Linked DNA regions of Drosophila melanogaster. The gene in region 2 interacts genetically with the main gene of each other region. Each region holds a gene or a part of one and is shown on either strand. Other genes may lie near its edges.

Region 1 (4,840 bases), on a different chromosome or scaffold from region 2:
GGCAAATACCCAAATATATTCGTTTTCCAAGTTCAGAACATGAGGAATAGCTTGCTGAAGGATCTGCGACAGGAGTTGAAAAAGAATTCTCGTTTTATCTTTGGCAAGAATCGTGTTATGCAGATTGGCTTGGGTCGCACGAAGAGCGAGGAAGTGGAGCCGGAATTGCACAAGGTAATTAAGTTTAAGTGGATTAACATATATCAGACACTAATCACAGGCTATGTCTATTAGCTATCCAAGCGATTAACTGGCCAGGTGGGACTGCTTTTCACGGACAAATCCAAGGAGGAAGTCCTGGAGTGGGCAGAAAACTACTGGGCCGTGGAATACGCACGCAGTGGCTTTGTGGCCACGGAAACGGTTACCCTGCCAGCAGGTCCCCTAGAGGACTTCGCCCACTCTATGGAACCGCATCTGCGTTCCCTGGGCCTGCCCACCAAATTGGAGAAGGGAATCGTTACGCTGTACAGTGACTACACGGTTTGTGAGGAGGGCAAAGTTCTAACACCCGAACAGGCGAGAATCCTCAAGCTGGTGGGCAAGCCCATGGCCAAATTTCGGCTGACCATGAAGTGCTCGTGGACAAAAAGCGAAGGCTTCCAGCTGCATGTCGAGGATGATGTGAACGACGAGGAACAGGCTGATAGCGCAATGGAAGAGGAGGCCGAGGCCGAGGCCATGGATGACAACGACGACGATGATGACGAAGAGGAGGATGATGAATAAATAAGTTTAAGGCGTAGAAATAATTTTTTTATGTATATATCAAGTGCAGAAAATATACGTATATTTTAAAAGTACATTACATATTATCTTACGTTCAACACAGATAATACTTGATTAACACTAGCTTATACTAATAACTAAGTAAACAAAACACTTAAGAAGCATTTCAGATATTGCAGCTAAAACCAAAGAAAGGCACAAAGCCTCAGGTTGCGTCGTCCGCGAGGATGTAGAGCACCAGAGGCTGTTCGTTATCGCTCTCCTCCTCCAGGAGTTCGCTGTTAGTTAGGGAAATATCCTGAGAGGCCGAGCCCTCCAGCTCCAAGGCACCGGTGCTAGCACTTGAAAAGAATTCCAGAGGCATGGGTTGCTCGGGATCTTCAGGATTCGAGGGGGTTTCAGTCTCCAGTGCCACGTCCTCCTCATCATTCTCCCCGGCTGACAACTCCAAATGTTATTGGTCTGTCGAGTTCGGCGGCACCGTGCAGCCCGCGGCAATGTGCTCCATCACCTGCTGCTTCAGCTGCGCCACATGGTCCTTGAGGTTCTTCACGATGCTAGCCAGGTCGACGTTCTCGCCCTTAAGTACCTTCACGCGATCCTCCAGCTTTGAGATGCGCTCCAACTTGCGCTTGCGGCACTTGGATGCAGCCACACGGTTACGCTGCCTCTTGCGCTCCAGCTTGATCTTCTCCTGCGCTTCCATGTCAATGGGATTAACGGTGGGCGAGCTGGCTTGATTGACGGGCTCGTCCTTAATCACCGAGAAGCCCTCGGTCATGTTGGTGTAGGTGAAGGTGCCTCCGCTGATGCCATTGTTCACCGCTGTCATGGCTGCCGCAGTTGTGTTATTGGCGGCGGAATTAGCGGCGGAATTGGCGGACGGAAATGCCTGGGAGTTAGTGTGAAGATTGTGTAAGGCCTCCTCGAATCCCCTGCCGAAGTCCAACTGCTCCACGGTGACGGGCCCCGCCTTGGTGGGGAACACCTTTCCCGGCTGCGGTGTTTGCATCAGATTGTTGGATAGCAGGATCTTCTCCAAATCGGGTGTGTTTACCGTCTTGGATGACAGATCCGGTGAGTTGATGACCAGTGGTGCGAAGATGCGCTTGTTCTTGGCACTCTTGCTGTTCAGATCCAGCGAGCCGGGACGCTTGTTAGGATTCGGGGTGGATGTGTTCAGGTTCGGCGACTGAAAGTCCAGTGACATGGGGCCTTCTTCTCCAACGGGCTCGGTTTTAGGTATGATCTGAATGGCAGTTGCTCCGGAACTGCCAGCATTCTGAATACTTAAGTTCGCAGCAGCGGAAACGGGGGTTTTCATGTTTGCTCAAGCAATGACGTCAATCTGATTCGGATGAAGTGAAAGAGACGAAAACGGAATGAAAACAATCTGATAAAAACTCGTTTCGCGATGAGTCATGCGAATAACTCGCTCTTCTTCTTACTCACCAGTGGGTGGGAACTTTGCTTGCAAAATTTGATTAGCACAATCTGTACTTTTGTGTTTTCTGCTTTCTGCACTGCCACTGCTTAATCACCGGTTTTATCGGCCAACGAATCGTTTGATTTTTATTTTGGTTTCGCTAAATAATTTTACGAAAATATTTATTACGCGCAAGGTTGTTTTCAGAATGAGTGCTAGCGGTGGTACAAGTGTCGATTATTTATTCGATATTGCTATCGATACTGGTCTTTAAATGCGATGTTTAAACAATGGGCAGCATTGACTCAAGCAAGAAGCTTAGCAGTGACACAAACCATTACCGGTAGCTAAGTTAATAAAATACAATATAGGTTTTTTTTAACATTTACTAAATCATTATGAAAGGTGAATGGAAACAAGGCCGTCGCTAGTCTTTCATGTTTTTCTTGAAATTTTCTTGATGTTTGGCAGTAAAAGAAGATGCAATAGATCTCTTTATCACTCCTGGGCGTCGGTAAATAGGAAAGGAAATATATTTTTCGGTCTGGTTAAGATATTGTTTTCGCACTTGGGGAACCACAAACTGTCCAGACGGATCCATTATGTCAGGAACTCCAGGAAAACACTGATGCTCATGATTTTGTGATTTTGCGAGTTACAATTGAAAAGGGGAAACAAAATATGACACTTAACTCGGAACATTCGCAAATAATTTGAAAACATCCGAGAAAAAAGGCCATACGTTTTTGGGATATTCCCGATATATTTATATTCGACATTTATGATAACTGTATAGCAATAAATATTTTCAAATATGGGTTTTTGTTCTGTTTTGTTTTGTTTTTCAAACTGTAGCATATACATCAAGTTTAAATATATATATTTGTTCGTTTATGTAAATACATTAATAATATTTTGATTTCGCAACCAAACGTCTTGCTGTTGTTCAGATTGGTATATATGCTGGCCCTAAAAGATTTACACATTTATTAAACTCCTTGTATATATTAATAATCACATCTATAGATTTGTTAGAGCTTCAAATATTTGTCTTAGTTATGTCCATTTATTGTAAGCACGTTGAAACACATTAATGTATATGTTCATCTGTAGACAAGTAATGCGGAGAGAGAAGTCTCAGATACTATAGTTAGTTGCTCTGCATTTGGCGTTCGCAAAGATACATAGTTTTTTTCCCGGTGTAGGCTAAAATCGTTATATATGTATAATGTGTATAGTGTATTATGGTATGGCACACGCACGTATGTATGTGCACACATCCAAGTCAAACCGAATAGAAGAATTCTGACGGTGACTTTGGAGGACTAGCTGCCAATGTGAGCTCTGCCTTTCATTTTGCTTAGAATGTCAAGCGAGTTGAGTTACTTAAAAAGCTGGCTGTGGATTAAATACTTGTATGTCTTGGTTAAGCATATGTATGTGTGTTATGTTTCGTCTATGATCACGTTTGTACACTTAAACACCCATAAAACGTGCAAATATGTTTCGAAAAATTCCATTTTACGCTGAACACTTAAACCAAATAAATCGGGCCGCATCGGGCGTCTACTGCGATTAACTGAATCCAAATTGTATGTATATCTATATGCATCTCTTTAGGTATCTGGTAAACTCTAGTTGGCTGCTGCCGCCTCGCGAGGCGGTCAGGAAAATCCATCAAAATATTATGTCATTGTATGCGACGACTATTTGGTTTTGAATCAATCGTTTGTTTGATTTTTGCCAGTTCAGCAAGGTTTTTATATTGGTTTTTTGGGCTCATATTGTTATCTTCTCTCTCTCTCTCTCTCTGCTTTGCATTGCGGGGTTGTCATTTTCATTTTCGATTTATGATTTTCTTTTTAAACGCACACAAAAGAGACGTTAGGAAAACACTGGGCGGCAATTCGGAGCAGTTCGCTTAAAGCCCAATCTCCCGCATGGCCCTGTACAAGCAGGGATTCTTCAAGCACTCCCTAGGACCCAGCTGCCGGCCGTGTGATCCCCGCAGGATCATCAGGATGGAACGGGCCGCCGACTGGCAGTCGTTGCTGTCGCCGCAAACGCTATCCGCCTCCGCCAAGTACTGATAGTCGCAGGCTACCTGTGAGGCACCCTGGAAACGGAAATGCAATGGGTAAACTATAGTTAACCATACTCGACTCAGGCATCCTGTTTTCACTTACACATAGATAGCATATCTGGTGAACACCGCAGAGGGGCAGGAGCTCCTGGTTAATGTCTCCGGAGATGAGATCGACGCCCCGACAGCGCTCCGCCATGGACTCGATAATGGGGCACTGGTTGGAGCCCACAATGTAGTTCTTGTTGCCCAGATAGGCGTCGTTTAGGGTCTCGTAGGGAGCGCTGCCCAGGCTGAGTGCCTCCTCCATGGTATTTGGCTGCTCCGGATAGCGCAAGTAACCACTGCGCTTCCTCTTTTCCATGTCCTTGGGTGGTCTCGAGTCTCTGGAGGATTTGAGAAATAAACACATCGAAATAATGTAAATTTAAGGGCATTTTCATTTACTCTGCCAGTTGATCTGCCTGCTCCTTCTTCACCGACTTTTTGTTCAACCAGTAATTGGAGTCCAACGCGTTCTCCTCGGATTCCGGTTCGATGGTATTGCGCATCAGGTGACTCTCGTTGTCCACTGATCTCCTTAACTTATCCAGAGCCCTGCG
Region 2 (5,138 bases):
GTTGCTACAAGCCACGGCAACGGCCACGCCCACAGTCCCGCCCCCTGCGGCATACCACCCCCGCCTCCCTCTTCGCACACTAGAACCACTGCCGCTGGGTAATTTGATTTCCTCGACGCTGCCATCATCTGCATCCTTGACGTCGGACACGTTTCTGCCTAATGGAGTTGCTCGAGTGGCGTGAATTTCAATTAAATTAAATCAAAATGTTGCATTTTTTATTAAGCCCATTAGCGGCACACACGGAAAACCCGCCCCCTCAGAGGACCGCCCGCTGGCCCCTAGTTGGTTAAATTAAGTTAAGATACCACCTCGTCAGTGCGAAAAGAACTTGTATCTTAATGTGCATAATGAAGTGCCAGACTTGACTTGCCATCCAGGAACACCTGGATGTGCCAATATAAATCCGGTGACTGCACTGATCCTACTGCTGCGAGGAAAAGCTATCGGGAAAATCCCAGTTTAGATGAAAATGGGGCCATTCAATAACTGAATTGCTATTTTTGCTAGCAAAATGATTTTAAGGGATTTACTTATTCAATTCATAATTATTTATAAATAGCGAATTCTTAATTTATAGTTTTATATATACACACCTTTTAAATGATTTATGTAAGTTTCTTATTAATAGATATTTATTTACAAGAAAATGTTAAGGAAAAGGCTGCTGTTTTTCCGACTGTTTCTGCGAAAAGCCAAATATCAGTGCACAAGAAGAGTTGGTGGGCGAAGAAAAGTGGAAGTGGAGTTTCCTATTGTTGCACATGCATTAAGAGTAATGCTGCAGTGCTCGGAAAATGCTGGAAAGAGGGTGAAAATGCTACTTTGAGTGGCAATAAACAATGCATAATGAGTTGAGAGTCGCGTTATTATTGTTGCAGCCCGTGGCTGAGACTGTTCATTACTCAAACAGGTAATTTAAATTAAGCCAAAACAATACGCCAAGGTGGCATTTAAAGTAGGTGCAAAACGCATTTCGCCATTAGGAAATTGCCAATTAAGAAGCAAACACTTCTGGGTCCATTCATTACTGCAACACTTGCAGGCAAATCATTTAATTGTCTTTTAAAAATATACTTAAATCAGCAGAGGCGGCAAAGTATTACAAGTCTTCATGCACTTTCTCAGATATGACTAGCCACAAGCACTTAATTCTTGATATCACTTGGAAGTGGCACTTCCAAATCAAAATTATATACATTTAGTAAATAAGAACTATTCGAAAAGACATTTTTCATTTAAAAAGGGAACATTAAGATTTTACTAATTTTTCTATTATCTTAAAGAAAAAATTTTCTAATTTCCACATTCCGTATTTTGTTAATACAACATTTCATTAATAATAATGCAGATATACCCACGATGTCAGGATTTTAAAATAATCTTGAATAATTTGCAAAAGTTAGATCAGAGCAAATATAACATAGATTTAAATTTGTGATACTGTTACCTAACAGAATTTTACAATGTTATTGAAATGTTAATTTTAACACAAAAAAGTGCTCTTCTGCTAATTTTTACATGCACCCAAGACAACAACCATCGAATACAACTGAGTATACGTTCGTTAAAATTTTGGTGGCAACGCTTGTATTCCTAATCTATTAAGATGGCAAGGCTCGTTATCTGAAGAATTTACATTGGCAGCATCAAACATCATTAACTTTGAACTGTTATACAATGGTGCCAATGTAACTTTTTCTCGACAAATGAATTTTGTACTTATTTACCCAAGTGTATATGGAAACAATCAGGTACCGAAAATGTGAACTCTTACAATATATTTTACCTCTTTTTCATCTTAAGTTGTTTTTTTATAAAAGATATCAGCACTGCTGCAAAGACAGCATGCTTTAATATATAATATATATTAATTAAATAAGTTTCACAGTTTTTACGTGGTGTTAACCAACTTACAAAATTCACTCACAAATGTTAACATTCTGTACAAGCATTAGTGTTACCAAATACTCGATAGTATTTTCGCCGTTCCACCAGCTGGTCACACCAGAGACGAATTTAGAAATCTAAAGAGAACCCAACAGTTTCCTAATGCAAATACAATAAACTAATTGTTTAAAATGTGACAACAGTGAACCAAATGCTTGCTGAGTAATAAACCAAAGGATGTTTTGTTTTTTTCTAAAACGTGCCAAGTGAATCGGCTCCACGCAAATGAGAGTGCGGTCTGAAAACAATGGAGCTGCCGTAAAGAATTGATTAAACAAAATAGTCGAGAAGAGAGCGCAAAATGCACAAAATGGTTAAATTATTCCTCAGGTAATTTCAGTCCCAACAAAAACAGCATGTGCCAGATTGCTTTCGTGCTCTTATTGCTGTTGTTGTAGTTCTAGACTCTCTCTTTGCGCTTTAATATTATGAATGACGTAAGCGCGCCTCTTTGGTAGCAATACAAAAGCAATAACAACAATTTGGTTTTGTTGCTTTTGTAAACAAGGAAAATAACAGAATGGTTTTGTACCGCTCGCGTGTGTGTGTGCATAGGTGAGTGGGGAGCTCACTCACCTATGCACACACACACACAAACGCAGGTAAAAGTGGCGTCGTTGGATTTTTACTTGGAAAACGTGTTCGAACTATAAAGAGAAATAGTAAGAGAGAGCTGAGCAGTCTAGCGCTCTTTGCAATGTTATTTCTTTTTTTGGTCAATGACCTAAGCTTTTTCGTCCGTTAGTTGAATTCGTTTCTTTCGCCAATTTCCGTGCTTTTGTGTGCGAGTTAAAAAACTTGGTCTATTTTCACAAAAATCATTGTTTACACTTTGTTGATGTGTAGGTAATTTTCCCAGGCTTTCTTAGCCTCATTTTTCAAGAAAAGGAGTAAACACTAAGTTGGAGGCCAAAGTTGTGAATGGTAAAAAAAAAACGTAATTTTTAAAGAAATTTAAAAAAAAAACTGCCAGCAGTAAACAACGTACAAATCAAAAGAGAATAATTGAGAATACTATAATTAATAGTGTTGTATACATGAAATGTTCAAGAACTTTATTTCCCGAACACATAAAGCATGAAATGAGTCTTCATAGTGTTTCCTTATATCTCTGAAAACAAATAGTATATCACTCGATCATCCAATTGCCTTGCTGTTGTGACATCTTGACAGTAATTAAGTTTATGCACTCAATTGTCACAAAGCCGGAAACAAAAGTGCACAAAGATGTAACATGTTGGTACATTTTTTGCAATGACAACAGCACGCAAATTAGTAAACATTACCGGCCAAATAACAATGCACTGTTTGGAAAATAAAGTAAATATTATGAAATAAATATTATTGTTGTTATACAAAACAGAAAGCAATTACGGAGAAGCAGTAACTGCAGCACAGGTATATTTGCATTCGTGATAACTTTTTGGTAAATAAATTATCTAAGCAATAAAAATGTTTTAAACTTGTAGGATTTTATTTTGGCTTATAAACATAAATACACTTAAAAATAAGTTTTAGGTCGCTTGTTTCAGTTTGTTTCAGAATGTTTTAAGAGCACCGTATAAAATTTTCGAAATTTTCCACAATCTTGAACGGTACTTCTGCGTATTAAGATTAATTGTTTGGCCTTTTATCAGTCTATTTCACTGGAATAAATATTTAACTAGTACTCAGATTTTGTAGGGCACTCTATATGCGGTGTACTTTGCTGACCGAAAAAAAGAGAGATACAAATGTTGAGAATGCGAGGGAAAACGCTTTTGTGATCTTCTTGATTTAAAAATTTTAACGCCAGTGCTGACCGAGCAATTAAAATGTAAACAGGCGGGAAATGAATAAGCGTGCCAGGGAAAAATAAAATGAAATCCCAAAATATTTACAATCATGCAGCAGCAGTTGCACATAAAAACCCAGGAAGAGAAGAACGGAATCTTAACGTGTATGCTTTCGAAAATATACTTGTACCTTAAAATGGCAAATTGGCAATAAGAAACCGACGCGACATTAATATGGCTAGGTAAATACAAAGGCATCATTACCGAAGGTCGTTTTTGTTTGCGTGCGATAAACTTTTTTTCTTTCGACTTTATAGCAAATATTCACGCATACAAACAAACCCGAATGCTTCCCTGTGTTTGCGATTGGTATTATCTGTGTAGGCCTTTGTTATCCAACCATTTGCTTATCTGGGCACGGCTGTCAATGCGTGTGTTTGTGATGGATACTTGATTGAATTGTTGTCCGTATGTTAGCGCCTAAAAAACAATCGACAGCCGCTTATCAGCTGGCAGAAACATAAATAAAATTTCCTCAAACTGAAGCCGAAGGTAAAATGCTCTCTAAATCAATTGCTATTATTAAATAGTATTAGCTTAAGAAGCAAGAAGGTTACGTTTCAAGGGTATACAATAGTCGTTAGCCATGTCATCGTAAAGTCACTGCCCCTCCTCGCACACATTCAAACAGTTTGTCAATCAACCGACAATCGGTTGCCAATCAAACAACAAAAATTCGTGGGTGAGGTGAGTTCTAGATTTTCTTTGGTTAGAGGATGGGAAAATCTGTCTGAAAAGTGGGACAGCAATTGACTGACTAATCGAACACATTGTTTAAGTCAATTATTTCCATTTAAGCTACATGATTCGTTTCGAAAATATTTCACAGTATATGGATGTTTTGAATACTTAGTAAAAATATATAAAATTCGCAATACTTACTTTCAATGTATTTAAAATATCAATTGGATTGGACATAATTTACACTTGTTGCATTCCTTTAACCTTATCCACAAATTAACAAAGTCCAAATTGTTTTCCATTTGAAGTACAAATATTATTGTTTTGTATTTTGTTATCTTATCTAATTCTTCTGAAATGACAAGTTATCCAATAGCAAATATTTGATTACTACAAACTATATTGTAATTATGCAGTAATTTTGTTTTTCCCAACTAAAGATGTTAGGAAAATAGAAACAATCACAACTAGGAATCACTTTCTTATCTGCATCTTCTGTTGTGTTTTGTGTGTCAAGTATAAAAGTATCAACAATATGTTATCCCATTTTATCTCCTCCAATTAAATACCCAAAATAATGGCTACCATTGTTAGTACGTTCAAAAAGTGTAATCCGCGATTATCCGAAACCGCAATTAAAAATGTTTTCACCTTGTTCTCAACCCGTGGCCA

What was found.
Region 1: of raw (region 2) and Jra, changing one suppresses a phenotype caused by changing the other (phenotypic suppression), as found in Drosophila melanogaster (3 studies listed by BioGRID).

Annotation. Positions count from the first base shown.
Region 1 is NT_033778.4:10,094,480-10,099,319, reverse strand, and holds Jra (Jun-related antigen), read right to left. Parts: upstream 2,841-4,840; 5' UTR 2,724-2,840; intron 2,393-2,723; exon of another isoform or gene 2,316-2,392; 5' UTR 2,182-2,315; intron 2,078-2,181; 5' UTR 2,054-2,077; coding exon 1,184-2,053; coding exon of another isoform or gene 935-1,183; 3' UTR 764-934; downstream 1-763. Other genes in the region: RpLP0-like (ribosomal protein LP0-like), read left to right, coding at 1-174, 235-729; CG2269 (uncharacterized protein), read right to left, coding at 4,077-4,271, 4,342-4,624, 4,686-4,840.
Region 2 is NT_033779.5:8,737,527-8,742,664, reverse strand, and holds the start of raw (raw), read left to right. Parts: upstream 1-2,004; 5' UTR 2,005-2,251; coding exon of another isoform or gene 2,252-2,280; intron 2,281-5,138.